5 linked regions of the Oryctolagus cuniculus genome follow. The protein of the gene in region 1 purifies or fractionates together with the protein of each later gene. This does not show direct contact. Links are inferred from orthologs where the notes say so. Each region holds a gene or a part of one and is shown in the gene's direction. Other genes may lie near its edges.

Region 1 (4,064 bases):
GCAGGGCCGGCTACCCCTAATTTCCATTACGAATTGTTTCAAGCTCACAGGACACAGACTGATTAATTAATAACCGTGTCGCTCTTCGAGATTTAACAATTACTTTTTGTTCCCAAAGTTTCCTTTGACTTTTTAGAGATTCAAGTAAACCAATGACATCACATCTCAACCGGCCCACCTCTAAAAATGACATTTTCTACACAGGGACCATCCCAAACCACACTGACCAAATCAGTGATAACTGCCCAATATGACAAATGCACCACTCACATTCACAGTTCCTTGACTGTTCCAGAAATGTCATTTAAAGTTGTTTTTTCAAATCAGGGCCCAAATGAGGCCATCGACGGGTGTGGCAGCTCCTGAGCGTCTTTCCCGGGCGGCACGGCTCTGGGGTGACGTCACGGCTCCGGGGTGACGTCACGGCTCCCTGAACTTCCGCTCGTTGTCTGCAGCCGGGCTCCCTGCGTCTGCCCAGCGTTTTCCTCGCCTCTCAGGCCGCTGCGGCCCCTGCCCCCGGGCCTCACCGGCAGTAACTTGGATTCAGCTCCACTGTCTGGGGTGGGGCTCCCCGGGGCTCCCGCGTCCCAGGACAGCACAGCAGGGGGCCTCTGCTGGGCGCCCGCCTCCAGCGTGCACCCCCTGCACCAGGACGACCACCCTCACCCCCTCTGCATTTTGCCTGTGGGCAGCAGGTGCACCTGGGCCGGACAGCGCGGGCCCTGACCTCGATGGCTGTGGTCTCCCCGAGACCGGCTGCAGAGGGGCCTCTCCTGGACGTTCCACTCCTGTGTCAGCTGAGTCGCAGCCGCAGCCGCCATCTCCCTGGGGCACAGCCCGTCCTGGGAGAGTAAACCAGACCCCGCCCCCTCCTGTCAAAGCGGGAACGAGTCTTTTCACGGTTCTTTTTATTTGAGAGGGAGAGACAGAGAGGTCCTCCGTCCCTGGTCACTCCCCAGAGGGCCAGGCCTGGGCCAGCGCGGCCAAGAGCCCGTGACCGTCTGGGTGACCCGGGAGCAGGGACCCGGACACCGGGCCATCTCCTGCGGCTTTTCCAGGAGGATTGGCAAGGCGTGGGCTCAGGAACGGGGCAGCCACAGCGGCCGCCAGCGCCCGCGGGCGGGGACTTCACCCGCTGCACCGACCCGGCTCCCGGCTCTCCTCACCAGCGCCTGGCAGGAAGACGCCCGGCGCGTGCGCAGTACGAACGGCCCGGCCCACGCTCCGCCCACCTACTACAACTCCCGGCAGGCCCCGCGCGCGTCTCGGCCGCGGCGCGCTCTGCTGACGTAGCTCAATAGCGCGGGGAATTTCGAGTGGGAGCGCAGCGCGGGAGGCCAGCGGGCGGCCGACCCCCAGCATCCTCGGGAGTGACCATGGACTCCCTGGCCGAGCCTCGGTGGCCGCCGGGCCTGGCAGTCATGAAGGTGAGGGCTCCTTGGGGCCCGGAGAGGGGCGACGACGGGGCGCGAGCGGCGAGCGGGGCCGGGTGCCCGGCTGTGCCCTGCCGGTCGCCGGGCGCGCGGCTCTGGGCCCGAGCGTCCTCCGCTGAGAAGTGACAGGGACGGGCGTTGGTGTGTCGCGGCGAGCCGGGAGGGTGGCCGTCGCGCGGTGCGATGCCGGCAGCGGCATGGCGGGCAGCCGTGGGCGCGACAGTGGCGGCCCGGCCTTGCCGTGGGCTCCCGTGTGCGCGGCCTCACGTGACGATCTCCGCGCGCGGGAGAGCAGCCGGCTTCCCTCCTGCTGCTCGTGCGCGCCCTCTGCTCCCGGCCGCAGCCCCGAAGCCTGCCCCCAGCAGCGGCCCGTCTCCCTGTCTCTCCTAACCGGAGATCGGGGCCTCAGCCCGGCGCCGGCCGTGGGTTGAGTGGACCTCGGTTAGGTTTGCCCCCGGTGTCCGTGCACGGCCCAGGACTCCTGCAGGATGCGCTCCAGGGCAGGTGCAGCTCGCCGGGGCGGCCTCGCCCTGCCTCTCGTCCTTTGTGTTTGTGAGGCCGCCTCCCTCTGCGCTTGGGTCTACCCGGGGGGGGGGGGGGGGGCTGTGGGTCTGCCCCGTGGGCTCCGCAGAGGGACCTGGGGGCGGCTGCGGTCACCCAGGGCCTTTGCTGACGTCGCTGCCGGGACCTGGGGTATCCCGGCAGTGACTGACGGGGTGGCCTGAGATAGCCCCGAGTGGACGGGGCACACAGGGGCGGACCAGGCCGTGCAGCTGAGGTGCAGGGGACGAAGGCGTGGGTTCGGGGTCCAGTGGCCCTGGTTCATTGTGGCCCCTATGAGTCTGAGTGTACTCAGGGGGTTGTGGGACGGGTGGTGTAGGCTGACGAGTGTTGGTAGCGACCCAGGCTTAGCAGGTGCTCAGAATCCTGCACGGGTGGATCGAGGGTGCCGGGCGAGGTAAGCGTTAGCACCTAAGGCGTGCTTGGTGCTGCCGGCAGGGCTGCGTTGGCGAGAGAACAGGGACCCGCGCGGCAGCCCTGCGGACTTGCCTGTTCTGTAACCCTATTCAAGCTGTTCAGAGCGGGCTCCGCGTCCCCTGTGGATGGAGCGGGACCCCGGGGCCGGGCTCCGCGTCCCCGGTGGGTGGAGAGGGACCCCGGGGCCGGGCTCCGCGTCCCCGGTGGGTGGAGAGGGATCCTGGGCCGGGCTCCGCGTCCCCGGTGGATGGAGAGGGACCCCGGGGCCGGGCTCCGCGTCCCCGGTGGGTGGAGAGGGACCCCCGGGCCGGGCTCCGCGTCCCCGGTGGATGGAGAGGGATCCTGGGCCGGGCTCCGCGTCCCCGGTGGGTGGAGAGGGACCCCCGGGCCGGGCTCCGCGTCCCCCGGTGGATGGAGCGGGACCCCGGGGCCGGGCTCCGCGTCCCCGGTGGATGGAGAGGGACCCTGGGCCGGGCTCCGCGTCCCCGGTGGATGGAGAGGGATCCTGGGCCGGGCTCCGCGTCCCCGGTGGGTGGAGAGGGATCCTGGGCCGGGCTCCGCGTCCCCGGTGGGTGGAGTCGGACACCGAGCGCTCTCAGAGCTCAGCCCCGGTTGACTGCGCCCAGCCGAGCTCGCTGGCCTCCTGCGGGTTCTGAAGGCGGAAACCAGCGCCCTCTGGTGTCCCGGCCGTGTTGTCGCGCGTCCAGGGACAGAACCCAGGAGCTGCCCTGGTTCCTCCAGTGCTGCGTGCAGCTGTCACTCACGCAGACCCGCAGCGAGACGTGGTGCCTGCGTGCACGTGTTTCTGAGAAGTCCACAGTGTCCAAGCACGTTGCAAAGGGCGCTGTTGTCCCCAGGACTTTCTGTAGTTGTTGAGTTGTCCTCGCATCCTGTGCTCCCGGTCACTGTCTCCAAACGCAGGCTCCCCCGGGACGCCTGCTGGCTGTCCCCGTCCCCTCCAGGCATGTATGTTGTGAGGCACGTGTGGCATGCATGTGGTGCATGCATGGCATGCGTGTGGCGTGGCGTATGTGTGGCACACATGTGGTTTGTGTGTGGTGTGTGTGTGGCATGCATTGGCATGCGTGTGGCGAGTGTCGCGGTAGCTCCGGCCCTGCCCTCCCGCAGCCGAGGGTTGTGCGAGGGAGCCTGAGAGCCCGAGAGGCTGCCTCTGCCCGGCGCCTCCCGCAGTGCTCTCGGTGTCCCTGAAGTAGCCGTCCCGCAGAGTAACGGGAGACTAGGGCGTGTTACTGTTTATTTCCCTGGTTTGGCTGTAATAAGCTTTTTTTTTGATTGGGACACATTATAAATATAAGATGTGTCCACATTAAAAATAATAACAATTCAGACTGGCATAAAGAAGGAGCCAAGGAACACTGCTGGTGACCTTAGCGTCAGACAGAGCCGCTGTTAGTGTCCCCTCCTGTTTCCCTTCAGTCCTCCTGCATGTGGCTGTGGGTCGCCGTGGTGGCGCCCTCGGCAGCTCCGGGCCCTGGGCTTTGCGGTTGGCCTGGTGCTGGGGGCTTCCCGAGACTGTCCTGGCCCCCAGGCTCCGGGGTCTGGGCTGCTGTCGATTTCTCTTCCGACTTTGAAGAAGTGTGCGTTAGAACGTGAACGCTGACCCCTGCCTTTTTTTTTTTTTTTTTTTTTTAA
Region 2 (3,515 bases), on another chromosome or scaffold:
AAACGGAGGCAAGGATCCTGCTCTCTAGAGGCTGTCAGTCCACTGTAGCTTCTGGAGCTGGGCTGTAAGGAGGAGGGACTGGGGCCGGTGTTAAGCAAGATGCCATCGTAACATCCCTCTTGAGCACTGGATTGAGTCCCGGCTGCTCTACTTGCAATCCAGCTCCCTGCTGATGTGCCAGGGAAAACAGCAGATGGCGGCCCAAGTACTCAGACTCCTGCAACCCACATGGGAGACCCAGAAGAAACTTCTGGCTCCTGGCTTTAGCCTGGCACAGCCCCAGCTGTTGTGGGCATTTGGGGAGTGACCCAATGGATAGAAGATCTTTTTGTCCCCTCTCTGTCCATAACTCTGCCTTTCAAATAAAGAAATAAAGGTTAAAAGAAAGGTACTAGTGAAAATTTCTACTGTTACAAAATGTAAGAATATCAGTTCCTTCATACCCAGAAGTAGCACAGACTCTTTTTGTAGAACCATGTAATCAAAATTTTATTCAGAAAATGTGATTCTATGGTATACATTCTGTACTGTTAGCATGTGTGGTGTATGAAAATAGGACATGCCTTTACATTCCTCTTGGTCCCTAACCTGTGCATAATATGTACTCAGTGTACATTTATAGTTTATGTAAGTAAATATTGGAATAAAGAGCCTTGTTCTTTACTTACTATTCTTTGTTCTTTACTTACTATTCTTTGTCCTGTATTGTCTTTTTTTTTTTTTTTTTTTTTTAAGATTTATTTATTTTACTTGAAAGAGTTACACAGAGAGAAGGAGAGGCAGAGAGAGAGAGAGGTCTTCCATCCACTGGTTCATTCCCCAATTGGCTGCAACGGCCGGAGCTGTGGCAATCTAAAGCCAGGAGCCAGGAGCTCCTCTAGGTCTCCCACATGGGTGCAGGGGCCCAAGGGCTTGAGCCATCTTCTGCTGTTTTCCCAGGCCACAGCAGAGAGCTGGATAGGAAGTGGAGCAGCCGGGATTCGAACCAGCGCCCATGTGGGATGCTGGCACTGCAGGCGGCAGCTCCACCCGCTACGCCACAGCGCTGGCCCCCCTGTATTGTATTTTAAACTATTTCTGTTTTCCAAACTCTTCTGTTACCCTTGATCCTTTTATTTCCTCTCATGCAGTTCAGTATATGGAATACAGAGGCTTCTGCTAACTATTTCTGATCTCAGTCCTCTTCCACCCACAGAATGACAGGATGGCCACCCAGTTGGCTGTGAGCATTCGTGTACAAGGAGACAAACGTCTGAGCAGCCTGCGCCGCTGCTGTGCCATTACTCGCTATGATGCTCACAAGATGAGCCAGGATGCCTTTGCTGCCATCAGGAACTGTAATACTTCTGGACTCCAGACTGAATGGTGAGTGTTTTTCCTAGCTCTTCTTCTCAGAAGAAACTTAGGCCTCGTTTTAGCTCTAAAATTGGTGGGCATCTGAGCTCTTCAGCTGGGGGCACTCTTTATAAATCAGTCTAGCAGCACCTATTACGGAGGAGAGTGGCTATCCCTTGGTGCACATGTAGCAACCCCAGAATCAAGGCAGCTCAGCTGCGGCTTCCTTGCCTACAGTTAGTACATTTGAGCTCCCAGGTACAGGTGGTAGGCAGTGAACTGATACTGTCTCTGCCTGTATTCATTCCTATAGTCAGGGAAATGACCGATTGTACTTGGAAAATAGAAGTTTCAACATGACACTTGGGCACTTCTCTCTCAATGACTTTATTGTTCTGTTTTAAAAGCATCTTTCATAACTTATGAAAGTGACCTATTTTCATTGGTAATTTCCACCTAAACATTCCAACTTAGTTACAGGCTCCACTGGTATCATATAAGTGTCACTTCTGCTAGTTATAAAATACAGCCAAATACATGATAAAGCCTCTTTTTGAAGCATGTTCATTTTCTATCCAGATAATAATGGTTTTCAAGCGAATCACTTAAGTTATTGCTTATGTAAATATATCGGTACATTGTTCTGTGTGCAGACATATAATATGATGGGGTCACTGAAGTTAGAGTCTGTGTTCTTAGAATTTACTTTTACTTGCTGGTATATTTGTTTTCAGCAGTTTATTTTGAACAGTTTTACATAACCAGGTGATAACTGTGGTACTGTGTTCATATGAAACCTTCCTTACTTAAAAATGTATGAGTCAGGGCCAGCATTCTGGTACAGATGATTAAGCCATCGCCTGCATTGCTGATATCCTGTATGAGTGCTGGTTCAAGTCCTGGCTGCTCTACTTCCTATCCAGGTCCTTGCTAATGCTCCTGGGAAAGCAGAAGATGGCCTGAATACTTGGGCCCCTGTCAACCATGTGAGAGATTCAGATGGAGTTCCAGGCTCCTGGCTTTGGCCTGACCCAACACTGGGCATTAAAGGCATTTGGGGAGTGAACCAGCAGATGGGAGATCCCTCCATCTCTCCCTTTCTTTCTTTCTTTCTTTTTTTAAGATTTATTTTATTTATTTGAAAGAGTTACAGAGAGAGGTAGAGACAGAGAGAGAGGTCTTTCATCTGCTGGTTCACTCCCCAGATGGCTGCAACAGCCAGAACTGTGCTGATCCGAAGCCAGGAGCCAGGAGCTTCCTCCGGGTCTCCCACATAGGTGTAGGGGCCCAAGGACTTGGGCCATCTTCTACTGCTTTCCCAGGCCATAGCAGAGAGCTGGATCAGAAGAAGAGCAGCCAGGACTAGAACCAGTGCCCATATGCCAGCACTTCAGGCCAGGGCATTAACCTGCTGCACCACAGCGCCGACTCTCTGTCTCTCCCTTTCTATCTCTTTTTAGCTCAGCCTTTCAAACAAATATATAAATCTTTTTTTTAAAAAGATTTATTATTTGAAAGAGTTAAACAGAGAGAGGAGAGGTAGAGAGAGAGAGAGAGATCTTCCATCCATTGGTTCACTCCCCAATTGGCTGCTACAGCTGGAGCTGTGCAGATTTGAAGCCAAGAGGCAGGAGCTTCTTCCTGGGTGTAGAGCCCAGAGACTTGGGCCATCTTCTAATGCTGTCCCAGGCCATAACAGAGAGCTGGATCAGAAGTGGAGCGGCTGCTCCATATGGGATGCCAGTGCTTTAGGCCAGGGCGTTAACCCGCTGCGCCACAGCACCGGCCCCAATAAATCTTTTTTAAAAAATGGGTAAGTTGGGGCCAGTGCTGTGGCGTAAGTGCCGACATCCCATATGGTCTCTGGTTTGAGTCCCTGCTGCTCCACTTCTGATCCAGTTCCCTGCTAATAGCCTGGGAAAGCAGTAGAAGATGGCCCAAGTGCTTGGTCCCCTGCACCCATACAGGAGACCCGGAAGAAGAACCTGGCTCCTGGCTTCAGATCAGCCCAGCTCTGGCCATTGTGGCCACTTGGGAAATAAACCAGTGGATGGAAGATTTCTCAGTCTCTCTCTCCCTCTCCCTCTCTCTCTCTCTTTCTCTAACTCTACCTTTTGAATAAAATAAGTAAATCATTAAAAAAAAATCTATAAGTTACAAGCTATGAAAAATATTCCTCC
Region 3 (3,515 bases), on another chromosome or scaffold:
TCCTGGCTCCTGGCTTCGCATCGGCCCAGCTCTGGCCTTTGCGGCCATCTGGGGAGTGAACCAGCAGATGGAAGATTCTCTCTCTCTCTCTCTCTCTCTCTCTCTGCCTCTCCTTCTCTCTCTGTGTAACTCTGACTTTCAAATAAATAAAATAAATCTTTAAAAAAGAAACAGACTTTTCATGTTTTACTGAAAATGGTATATTATATTATATGTCATGATGTATTGGGGAGACATGATTTAACTTACTAAGTTTTTTTTTAATTTTTAGGATGAATTATTTATTATAGCATTCTTTTAATCCTCAGGCTAGATGAACTGCAGAAGCAGCTACAAGAAGATATAAGGCAGGGCCGAGGCATTAAATCCCCAATCAGAATCGGAGATCAAGATAGTACAGATGATGAAGATGGCCTCTTGGAAGAACACAGGTATGGTATTTTTTATAATGTATGTATGTCATTTTACAGTTTTTGTTTTTTGGCCGGCACCGTGGCTCACTAGGCTAATCCTCCGCCTTGCAGCGCCAGCACACCGCGTTCTAGTACCGGTTGGGGCACCGGATTCTGTCCCAGTTGCCTCTCTTCCAGGCCAGCTCTCTGCTGTGGCCAGGGAGTGCAGTGGAGGATGACCCAAGTACTTGGGCCCTGCACCCCATGGGAGACCAGGATAAGTACCTGGCTCCTGCCATCGGATCAGTGCGGTGCGCCGGCCGCAGCGCACCAGCCGTGGCGGCCATTGGAGGGTGAACCAACGGTAAAGGAAGACCTTTCTCTCTGTCTCTCTCTCTCTCTCTCTCACTGTCCACTCTGCCTGTCAAAAAAAATAAAATATAATTTTTGTTTTTTTGTAAAATAAATAGGCCTTTGATGATTATTTCCTTCATGAATCTTTACTGGGTTTCTAATCGTCTGTGATGGTATTAAAAGGCAAATGTTAGAGGCAAGTTACGCCTTTTCTTTTGTACTGATTATTGTTCCTTCTCATAAGAGACAAAAATTGGGAGCAGCAAAGCATACTTTTTCTCCGGCTGGTCGTCTAACCTGGGATTAACATTGGACGTAAAGTTTTCTTTGCACCCAACTTTTAAGTACAAAACCATGTGCAGTATAACTATTTGGTATTCAAGTAACATGTTTTATGTTTCAGGGAATTTCTAAAGAAATTTTCAGTTACAATTGATGCTATTCCTGATCATCATCCAGGTGAAGAAATATTTAATTTCCTTAATTCTGGAAAAATTTTCAATCAGTATACCTTGGATTTAAGAGACTCTGGTTTTATCGGACAAAGTGCTGTAGAAAAGCTTATTCTTAAGTAAGTAGAAATTAACATTATATCTTTTTCTCTATAAAAATTATTTTAAAAGACTTCTGACCAATGTAATTTTCCGGTTTCCTAATCCTTTTTTGCCCTTTATGATATTTTACTTAATTATAGGAAGCAGGATAGGAAAGTTGACATGCTTTTATTAGTTAGGATTAAGATCCATAAATAGCAGTGACTGTCAGAGTAAAAGGAGCTTAAACAAGAGTTTATTTCTTTCTTAAGTTAAAGAAGGGTAAGAGGTATAAAGTCTAGGGCCAGTATGTTGGTTTCACTATTCTTTTTCTCTGTCATTCTTTTTTTTTTTTTTATGTAAGATTTTATTTATTTATTTTGAGAGGCAGAGTTACAGACAGTGAGAGGAAGAGACAGCCCTGCTCCAGCTGTTAGCCATCTGGGGTGTGAACCAGTGGATGGAAGATTCTCTCTGCCTCTGCCTCTCTGTTTTTTGTTTGTTTTGTTTTTGTTTTTGTTTTGACAGAGTTAGTGAGAGAGAGACCGAGACAGAGAGAAAGGTCTATCCTTCCATTGGTTCACCCCCCAAATGGCCGTTATAGCTGGCGTGCCACGCCGATCCGAAGCCAGGAGCCAGGTGTTTCCTCTTGGTCTCCCATGTAGGTGCAGGGCCCAAGCACTTGGGCCATCCTCCACTGCCTTCCCAGGCCACAGCAGAGAGCTGGACTGGAAGAGGAGCAACCAGGACAGAACTGGCGCTCCAACTGGGACTAGAACCCGGAGTGCCGGTGCTGCAGGTGGAGGATTAGCCTAGTGAGCCACAGCACCGGCCTGCCTCTGCCTCTCTGTAACTCTGCCTTTCAAATAAGTAAATAAAGTTTAAAAAAAAAAAAGCAAAATTAGATGTTAGTATAGACAAGTAATCTCAACCACAAACCAGATGTTAGTATGGATAAGTAATCTCTACCTAGCTAGTCTGATTTCTCTAGGTACTTGATATCTTAGAGCTAGAGAGATCATATCAGTTCTGGTGCTGAGTTTTACGAAACAGCGTTCTGCAAGCTAGCAAAAGCAGAGGAGGTCCTAAGATTTTATAGGCTCTTTCAACACTGCCAACAAATGTAGCGTTGCCTACTAGACAGGCGTGAAGCTGAAATAATAGATCGCATCAGCTTTATGCCATCAGTTGAATTTGTTTTGTGAGTAACCTGTCTATATTGGTGTGGGATCCACCTACACAGGATGATTCGCTTTTTATTGTCTTGATTGTGTCAGATGTGGTGGTAGTAGAAATGCTTTGCCATGAAAGTAATAGTCATTGATTTCACTTTATTTTTTCAGATCAGGAAAAACAGATCAGATTTTTTTGACAACACAAGGCTTCCTCACCTCTGCTTATCATTATGTCCAGTGTCCTGTACCTGTGTTAAAGTGGCTATTTCGGGTAAGAGAAATGTTTGGAGGGTTATAGTTGCCTGCTACTGTATTTCCCAGTCAAAAGCAAGTTTTTATATGTAATTTTACTTGCATATGCCTAGGAGAAAATTAATATATCAAACCCGTGATTTCAGTGGATTAGAATATACAAAAGGAGTCTGAATGCATTTAAAGGAAATGTTAATACAGATAGTATGCAGGATAGTCAATAAAGTTATATGTGTCTGAGGCACTTCATCACACCAGTAAATCACTGTTACAGTTAGTTTTAGAAAGGATCTTCAAATGCTTACATTCCCTAAATTTTGTTTTATTTCTAGGGGTACCAATATTCATTTTCAGGGATTTTATTGTATACTAATATTTCCCCATTCGTTCATATGTGTGTGTGTGTGTGTGTGTGTAAATCCAACTGTTTCTCTTTTTTCTATTTATATTTTCTACTTAAATCCACTTGAATATCTTAATTTTTATTTTTAAGTGTAACTTTTAAAAATATAGATGATATTGATTTTATATGTAGAGTCCTGGTATTACTCTAGGTACTTTGTCCCTTTAGGCAAACGACATCATTAATATAGAAGTATTGTATCATCCAATTTAGGGTTAAATGCAGTACATCCTAGAAGAGCTAGGAAGCTATGGAGAGGGACTTTTTGACTAGCTGCTACATCAGCAAGTACTATGATGATGCTCAGTTGGAATTAGCCTCCTCCCATATTCAAAGAAGATTATGAATGACAAGTTATTCCCAGGTTGTGAGAGTGTTCCACTTTAATAAAATTCTGAATGTATGA
Region 4 (3,515 bases), on another chromosome or scaffold:
CACTTTTCCTAATTATAAATTTGATCTGTGATTTAGACCATTAGTTTGTCATATGATGTTTTAAAAACATTACTAAGTTATTATAAACGTTGTTACTGAAGTAGATGATTTATGTGTTTAGAGTGTTTGAATCAGGACATCCTGTTTTTTTGTGCCTGTGTTTCTTATTTCCCTTTACTCTTTGCAAGTTTAATTTCACTTTCATATTTAATCATTTTAAAAGGAAAGAAATTGCTCTAAGAAGACTTTCTTGATTTCCACTATTGTACACAGTTGGTCATGTTTTCATTTACTCTGGGTTCATACTTTGACCAAAAGTGCTACTAATAACTTAGATTTTTCCATCATATTTATTCCTATTATAAAGACAATATGACTTGAAAATGAAAACTTTACACTGACTCCAGTATGTCCAAGTAATTTAATAATTTTTAAATTAAACCAAACATGTTTAAATGTTACTCTGTTAATAAGCATTCAGATTATAAAAACAGCAATTATTCATCTAAAAAGAGGAATATAATATGGTGGGGTTTTTGTTGCATTTCTATATAATATTTAACTCTCAAGAAACATAGTGAAATTCAGAAGATAACTTTTATAGAAAACTTTTTGTGATAGCATTACAGCAGTTTTTTTTTTTCGTTGCTTTCTGTACATTTTTATTTGATAGTATTTATAATATAGTAGAATGGCCATGTGTTTGCTTTGGCAGCCCATAAAGTATTTACAATTAAGCCTTACATGTTTATTGTGTGTGAAATGGTTTTAATGTTTTTATATTTAGTAGTCAGAGTGTCGTCTCTGTGAATAATGTCTTTAACATATGTTTTCTGTATGTGTCTGTACATTAGATGGAAGATGATGCCCCAAAGCATGTAATCCAGATGACAGGATTTAAGATGGAAGAAAAGGAAGCTCTAGGCAAATTGCTTTTAAAACTAGATTGCACTTTTATTAAGAGTGAGGTAAGTACAGAAGCTTAACTCATCAAAATGTTAAAAGTATAATTGAAAGAGAATTAAAATACTGACAATAATAAAATGCTGCTTGGTATTTTAAAAATGTAAAGGATTTGTTGTTAAGGAAATCTCTAATATTTATGTGGATTTTTCCTTTCAGAAATACAAAAATTGTACACATCTTATAGCTGAACGTCTTTGTAAGAGTGAAAAATTTTTAGCAGCTTGTGCAGCTGGTAAGTGAACTGCCTTGCCTCCAACCCTTTAAACAAACTGCATGTTAAAGAAAAAGTATCCTAATCTCTGAAACAATAATGTGTTCATTACACCAAATATAAATTTGTTTCTGAAAATATGTATTTTTTGTTGTATTCAGAAGTAAAATGTTCTACCACATGAAAAATGTAAAATAGGCAAAAATATGTACTTTACCAAAGGTTTGGTGTAAGTGCTTTATTTAAGAAAAACAGGTTGTAACAAAAAGGTTAGTGCAGAATGCCAACATCTTAAGCCTTTGTTGAAGACTGATCTGTTCTCAATCAACTTTCTTTTCTTGGTCCATTCTTGGAATAATTTTATGTTTTGTTTTCCCTCCTGAGTTTCCCCACCTTTCCATGCTTTGTAACAGTGGTCGTACATTTATGTTATTAGATAGTAAATTTTATAGGCCCAAGTTATGACTTATTCTTCTTTCTTCCTTTTTTACCATTCAGTAAGTTTGTACACTAACAGAAACGTATTTGTAGTTTAATTTAGAATAAAACCACTTGGATTTCTCAGCTCCACAAATGAAAGAATACATTGTTTAAAACGGTTATTGATGTCTGGGTAAAGAAACTGCAGCATATTATTAAATGCCCTGAAAATTTCTCTAACTTGATAGATTTGTTTTACAGGGTTTAGCAGTGCTGTAAACATTATTGGAAGAGTTTTTAGCATATAATTAAAAATATAAAGTTAGCCCAAATAGTAAATAATCACAATAATAAAATATAATGACATTTTATTTTGAATTTTAAAGCTTTAGATTTAACAGTATTTAGATTTTGAATTGTCATGGGAAAGATTACATACTATGTTCATTGATGCTGTAGACCTGTTACAATCAAAAATTTAGAAAAACAAAAATAAAACAATTTGGATGAAGAATCTGATGTTGAACAGGTTGACTTTTTCTTGATGGCTTGATTTTTATTGTTTATCATCCATCAAAACCAAAATTATTTTGTGATGGACAGTTTTTTTTGCATTCTAGGAAAGTGGGTACTAACAAAGGACTACATAATTCATAGTGCCAGAAGTGGAAGATGGCTTGATGAAACCACTTATGAATGGGGATATAAAATTGAAAAAGACTCCCATTATTCACCTCAAATGCAATCTGCACCTAAAAGGTGGCGAGAAGAACTGAAACGCACTGGTGCTCCAGGAGCCTTCCACAGGTGGAAGGTTGTCCTCCTTGTGAGAGCTGATAAACGAAGTGATTCTCTTATAAGGTATGATGAAAGCTCATAAAAGCTAAAGCAAGGATGAGAAAACAGCTATGATTTGTATGAATACCTTTGTATAGCTCTGAAATTCTTAGCTTAAAACTTGGGAGCCATGGTAATTTACTCTTTGATCTCTAAGCCATCACTTTTAAGTTTTTGTGTGTTTAATAGAACAAAATCTGTATTACAGTGTATGTTTTACTTCCCATGTTATTTCTTCTGTACATCTCAAAATAAACAATAATTGCAAGTTTTTTTAGTTTCGAAGCTCTTAAGATTTTTGCTTGTAAGATATTACATAATATTTAAGGCTTTATTGTGCATTTATGTAGTGCTGTCTTCATGATTTATACTGTTTCCACTATAATTTAATCTCATTCTTTTTTTATATATAGATTTTTTTTAAAAGATTTATTATTTATTTGAAAGAGTTACACAGAGAAGGAGAGGTAGAGAGAGAGAGAGAGAGAGAGGAGAGAGGGAGGGAGGGAGGGAGGGAGAGAGATCTTCCATCCGCTGGTTCACTCCCCAGTTGGCCACAATTGCTGGAGCTGCGCCAATCTGAAGCAGGAGCCAGGAGCTTCTTCTGGGTCTCCCACATGGGTGCAGGGACCCAAGGACTTGGGCCACCTTCTGCTTTCCCAGGCAAAAGCAGAGAGCTGAGTCAGAAGTGAAGCAGCCAGGACTCAACGTGCTGGCACTGTAGACCAGGGCTTTAACCCGTTGCGCCATAGCACTGGCCCCTCTGTATATATTTTTTAAAAGCCACCTTGTTGGATAAACTAAATTTTAAAACTTCTGTCATTTTTGCCAGAGGCAGGAGGTAGTGATTTGTTTTTTTGTCTCTGAAATATAATTTATGGATAGTAAGATATATCCCTTTTAAGTATACATTTTGATAATTTAGGCAAGCTTATACACTCATATTTCCCTCACTGTAATCAAGATCTGTAACATTCTCATCATCCTTTAATGTTCCTTTGTGTCCTTGTACATTTAATTTTGTACCACCAATACCAGTTGCCTTATTTGTCACAATAGACTAAATTTGTCTTTTTCTAGA
Region 5 (4,125 bases), on another chromosome or scaffold:
CAAAATGCAAAAGTGAACCATGATTTCTGAAATGAGCTCTGGTAATTCTAAACCTGAAAAACATTCTTCCATAGGGAAATTTCTCAATGGATGTACAGGGTAGTTGGCAAATACCAGATTGAACATAAGGGAGAATTTTGTTTCATTGTAACCACTGGAAGGTAGAGCCTAGAATTCTATGTCTATAATGCAATCACATCACAGAATTTGCAATTTGATCTGCAGTTTAATATCCTGCACAGTGTTAACGAAATTATGTCTGTAAGTAACCCCAAGCCAGGTGAATAAAGATGCTGTGCTATTTTTTTTTAACTATTTCTGCCTGTCATCAGAAGCCAAATATTTCAGACAATCCATGAGCCCACTTCACTCCTCCAATGGTGAGAAGTGATAAAGCTATCAAGGATAACATTTTTTAGCATAATATTTGTTTAAATACCCAGTTCCTTATCACACCGTGGAACAAAGGTTTCATTGCATCATGTATTTGGGGAAATGATCAATTCCTTAATGAAGAAGAATCCTGCTTGTCCACTGTCACAGCGTTAGCAGTTTTCCAAACTTGTCTCATGAAACTTTGGATAGTGCAATTGATTTGTCTAGTTTGACAGGTTTTAGATTATGTAAATAGAGTCTTTCAGGCTGTTGGGGTCTGTGATAAGCAGGAAAAGGGCTCCTCTAGATTGTTTCCACAGCACAGGAGGTCGTGTTAGGCAAGCAGTTACTTTAGCTCTTCTGGAATCACACACATCTGAGACGCCCCGCGCCAAAGTATAAATGTTGAGTCCTTATTAGGTACACACTCACTGACTGACTGCCTAATATTTCCCGGAAGTTAATTTACAGGCTTTTGTAAAACCTTCCAGAGTTATACCAAAGTTAACTAAGCGAAAGTTTCCTTCTGTAAGAGGTGGGAGGAGAAAACAGAAACTTTAAAACTAAGATGATGGAAGGCTAGCTTCAGCAGAATTCTTATTTAAAAATATTTCCTCACATTTCCTTCGTAAATCTTAACAAATGTTTTTTAAGAGAGGCATGCTTCATTCGCACCTAATAAGTCACTTCTTTCTTGAAGTAATTAAGTAGATAAGTTCTGGAGAATTCTTTTCTGCTTTCTTACTAAATATACAAATGATTTAACTACCTCTTGCTTCCGGCGGCAAGCAGAACCCCGCCCCTGCGATGCTGCCTATATTTGCTTACTGTCCCGCCTCTTTCTTCTGGACGTCAGCCAATCCTGTCTTCATTAATGTGCGGCATAGCTATCGCGAGACTCCAACTGTACTTGCGCAAAAGAGGCTCTAGAAGCCGAGAAGGGAGGAAAGGGGCGGGGCGCCCGACGTGCGCGTTCACCTTGACCTCACGCTCCTGCGCGCGCCCGGCAGCTAAGCGCTGTGGCTTCTGGGCCCCCGGAGGCCACAACACAACACACAACGCGCGTGCCCACATAGGGCGGATGCTCCGTGCGTAGCGAATGAATGCCTGGACTCTGAGGGAGCATTAGCGGGTTCCGGACCCGGTGCACACCCACTCAAGTATTTGGAGAAGCAGCTTGGGTGAGCGCTTGGGTGATGGAGGGTCAGAGGTCAGAGGTCGGGGGAGGAAGACGTCTCCGGCCTCTCCGGGCCCCGGAGGGAGGACGGGGGCTGTCCTGGAGCCGGGGAAGCTTTTGGATGGAGAGGAAGCCGCTGCGCGAGTCTCCTGGCGTCCCCGTCCCCGGCTCGCGGGCCTCGGGCCTCCGCGGCTTTCCTAAAAGCGGGGGCGGTGGGGAGGGAGGTTCTGCTGCTCCGGATAGACTGGGGCCTGCGGTGTGTTGTGCGGGAGCCCCGCTGCAGTGTCCATGGTCGCGCCCCTCGGCCTCGCCGGGGTCTGCCCGGCCTGCTGGGAGCGGTCGGCCGCTGACAGCGCGGCTCCGACTCTCGCATCCGCTTTTGCATCTTAGGGGAGATAACCGAGCGGGTATCCCTGGAGTCGAGCAGATAAGCCTCTGAGGCAGAGCTGGGCAGCCGCCTAGCTTTTGGGTGCACCGGATTGCACATAGTGAAAGGCGAGGCTTGTAAGTTACTCCCACTGGAAAGTTCTCGTGGAAATCAGACGGGTGACACTGGCTTCCAGAACCACCCTGGGCATTGCACGTTTCGACGCCGTGAAAGATGTTGGGTTTATGAACGAAGACGGTTGTCACTGTCTGTCTTAAATGATGATCATTCAGCTTCTGTCTTTTCCCAGGAAGCTTAGTACAAGGTAGAAATCTTCGTTTGGCGTTTTCCTAGTTGTACTTAAATTGATTTGGGGCTGTAACGGAACAAAATGAAATAGTTTTAAAGTCGTTACTGCTATTTTAAACGATTCCAGTGGGCAGTAAGCAGGGACGGTGGAACTCCCCTGAATAGAAACAATACACAATATCTGTGCCATCACAGAAAGCGGTGCTTGGCTTGGGATCAGGGACCCTGCGGGAAGCTGAGCAGTATTGGGATAACCCGCACTTCCTAGAGGTTTCAAGGCCCGGTTAACAAAACAAGCCCGACATTGAGAGTCCAGTGGTTTGCTCTTGAAAGATACTCTTATCTTTTGCCCAGCTCAAAATGAGTGCACTTACACTACTATTAAACCAAATCTTTTATTAAGAGTTTCAGTTAGAATTTGGGGGAAGCAATCTGCTGGTGACAAAGCTTGTTAGTAAGACATTTTTCAAACTTATATCTAATATTAATTTAGAGTTCAGTAGATGAGAATACTCTCAATTAGCCCGAGTAATCAACACAGAAAAGAAACAGATTGTGATAATGCGAGGGCATTAAGAGCTTTTCAGGTTTCAGAAATAATTGGACTTCTCTTGCATAAAGTAATGCTGTGCACCTCAGTGTGGCAAATGTAGACTTCTTGGTGCCTTGATAGCCCAAACCCAGGTCTACCATGGATTTGTTATAATTCAGGATTTGTATGTGTCTTAATGAAGAGGTAATTTGGAGGGAAAGGAATCAAAATTTAAGTTTAATTGAGATTCACTTGTTGTCTTAGCAATGTAAACATTTGCGTTTATTTTTCTGGCACTCTGTTTTGCTGGAGATACTTCACTCAATATTCTCTGCCTCATTTTGGGCCATAAACAATAAAGCAAAGTATCATAATACTTGTGGTCTTCTAGAACGTGAATAAGAGATTTCGCCTGAAAACAATATAAGGACCTTTAGGTCCTTAAAATGGGGAAGATATTCAGGAAGTTAGAGATCTTTGTCTCGCCTTATATTTTGTATCATTTACATCCTGACTGACCAGGCATTGAAAGTACAACACTGAATAGGATACTGTTAGTGCCCAGATTTCAGGTAGTTCAAAAGGAACACTACAGCCTTTGGGATCAAGTAGCAGAGACCTTTAACACAACTTCTGTGGTAATAAAAGGCTCTCAGGGAAGACTGGGTCCATACCAGTAACTTTGCATAATTACATTTTACACAAACGCTGATATTTGCAGAAGAGGAAGAAGTAGAACCTTAAGATATGTGATCCTTGAGCTCTGAAGAAAACCTGAAGGATATGGGATATGGTTAAAATACAGAATCTCACCAGTACTTGACTTATTTTGCCAATTTTCATTTTGGGTATAAGTATCTTTGACTAAATAATATTTCCTTTGATTCAAGAAATTATCCCTGGATATTGATCAAAAACCAGATTGGGGAGTGAGGGCAAATATCACAGATATTTGTTGAGAACTGGACAAAGGGAGGGCTTTGCTGGAAACGCTGGTATTTACTTTTCCCAACTTAATATCAATGATAATTACCCTAAGGCTCTAATGATAGAAGAATCAGGTTGAAAGCAAACATTATTGCAAATAATAGCACTGTACATAATTTCAGTGATACTGGATGAGCCTTACCAGTGGACATAAAAAAAATGAAGGAGTATGTTCTGGTTCAATCATACCTGTTAAAAGATTGTTTTAAGAAATATGGCACATATTATTTCTACTCACATTCCTTTGGCTAGAACTCGTAATGGGACCATAACTAAGCCAGGCAGCCATTTTTTCTAATATTGTATCTTTTGGGAGGAAAAACAATGATTTTAGTAGGCATCTGGTTATCCATAACAAGGCTTCTCAAACTTGGCTGA

Evidence for each region.
Region 2: the proteins of RAD18 (region 1) and POLH purify together in Homo sapiens (affinity purification with western blotting; 7 studies listed by BioGRID, with this or other methods). This does not show direct contact. The link is inferred for Oryctolagus cuniculus from reciprocal best matches to the Homo sapiens genes RAD18 and POLH.
Region 3: the proteins of RAD18 (region 1) and SLF2 purify together in Homo sapiens (affinity purification with mass spectrometry; 3 studies listed by BioGRID and IntAct, with this or other methods). This does not show direct contact. The link is inferred for Oryctolagus cuniculus from reciprocal best matches to the Homo sapiens genes RAD18 and SLF2.
Region 4: the proteins of RAD18 (region 1) and SLF1 purify together in Homo sapiens (affinity purification with mass spectrometry; 4 studies listed by BioGRID and IntAct, with this or other methods). This does not show direct contact. The link is inferred for Oryctolagus cuniculus from reciprocal best matches to the Homo sapiens genes RAD18 and SLF1.
Region 5: the proteins of RAD18 (region 1) and SHPRH purify together in Homo sapiens (affinity purification with western blotting; 3 studies listed by BioGRID and IntAct, with this or other methods). This does not show direct contact. The link is inferred for Oryctolagus cuniculus from reciprocal best matches to the Homo sapiens genes RAD18 and SHPRH.

What each region holds. Positions count from the first base shown.
Region 1 is NC_091441.1:117,583,811-117,587,874, forward strand, and holds the start of RAD18 (E3 ubiquitin-protein ligase RAD18), read left to right. Parts: upstream 1-1,263; 5' UTR 1,264-1,376; coding exon 1,377-1,427; intron 1,428-1,844; exon of another isoform or gene 1,845-1,937; intron 1,938-4,064. UniProt on the Homo sapiens protein: E3 ubiquitin-protein ligase involved in postreplication repair of UV-damaged DNA. Postreplication repair functions in gap-filling of a daughter strand on replication of damaged DNA.
Region 2 is NC_091436.1:126,462,355-126,465,869, reverse strand, and holds part of POLH (DNA polymerase eta), read left to right. Parts: intron 1-1,195; coding exon 1,196-1,365; intron 1,366-3,515. UniProt on the Homo sapiens protein: DNA polymerase specifically involved in the DNA repair by translesion synthesis (TLS). Due to low processivity on both damaged and normal DNA, cooperates with the heterotetrameric (REV3L, REV7, POLD2 and POLD3) POLZ complex for complete bypass of DNA lesions.
Region 3 is NC_091446.1:28,940,961-28,944,475, reverse strand, and holds part of SLF2 (SMC5-SMC6 complex localization factor protein 2), read left to right. Parts: intron 1-308; coding exon 309-431; intron 432-1,149; coding exon 1,150-1,317; intron 1,318-2,622; coding exon 2,623-2,725; intron 2,726-3,515. UniProt on the Homo sapiens protein: Plays a role in the DNA damage response (DDR) pathway by regulating postreplication repair of UV-damaged DNA and genomic stability maintenance.
Region 4 is NC_091445.1:17,190,687-17,194,201, forward strand, and holds part of SLF1 (SMC5-SMC6 complex localization factor protein 1), read left to right. Parts: intron 1-854; coding exon 855-968; intron 969-1,122; coding exon 1,123-1,198; intron 1,199-2,217; coding exon 2,218-2,458; intron 2,459-3,515. UniProt on the Homo sapiens protein: Plays a role in the DNA damage response (DDR) pathway by regulating postreplication repair of UV-damaged DNA and genomic stability maintenance.
Region 5 is NC_091436.1:22,333,613-22,337,737, forward strand, and holds the start of SHPRH (E3 ubiquitin-protein ligase SHPRH), read left to right. Parts: upstream 1-1,315; 5' UTR 1,316-1,556; intron 1,557-1,661; exon of another isoform or gene 1,662-2,244; intron 2,245-4,125. UniProt on the Homo sapiens protein: E3 ubiquitin-protein ligase involved in DNA repair.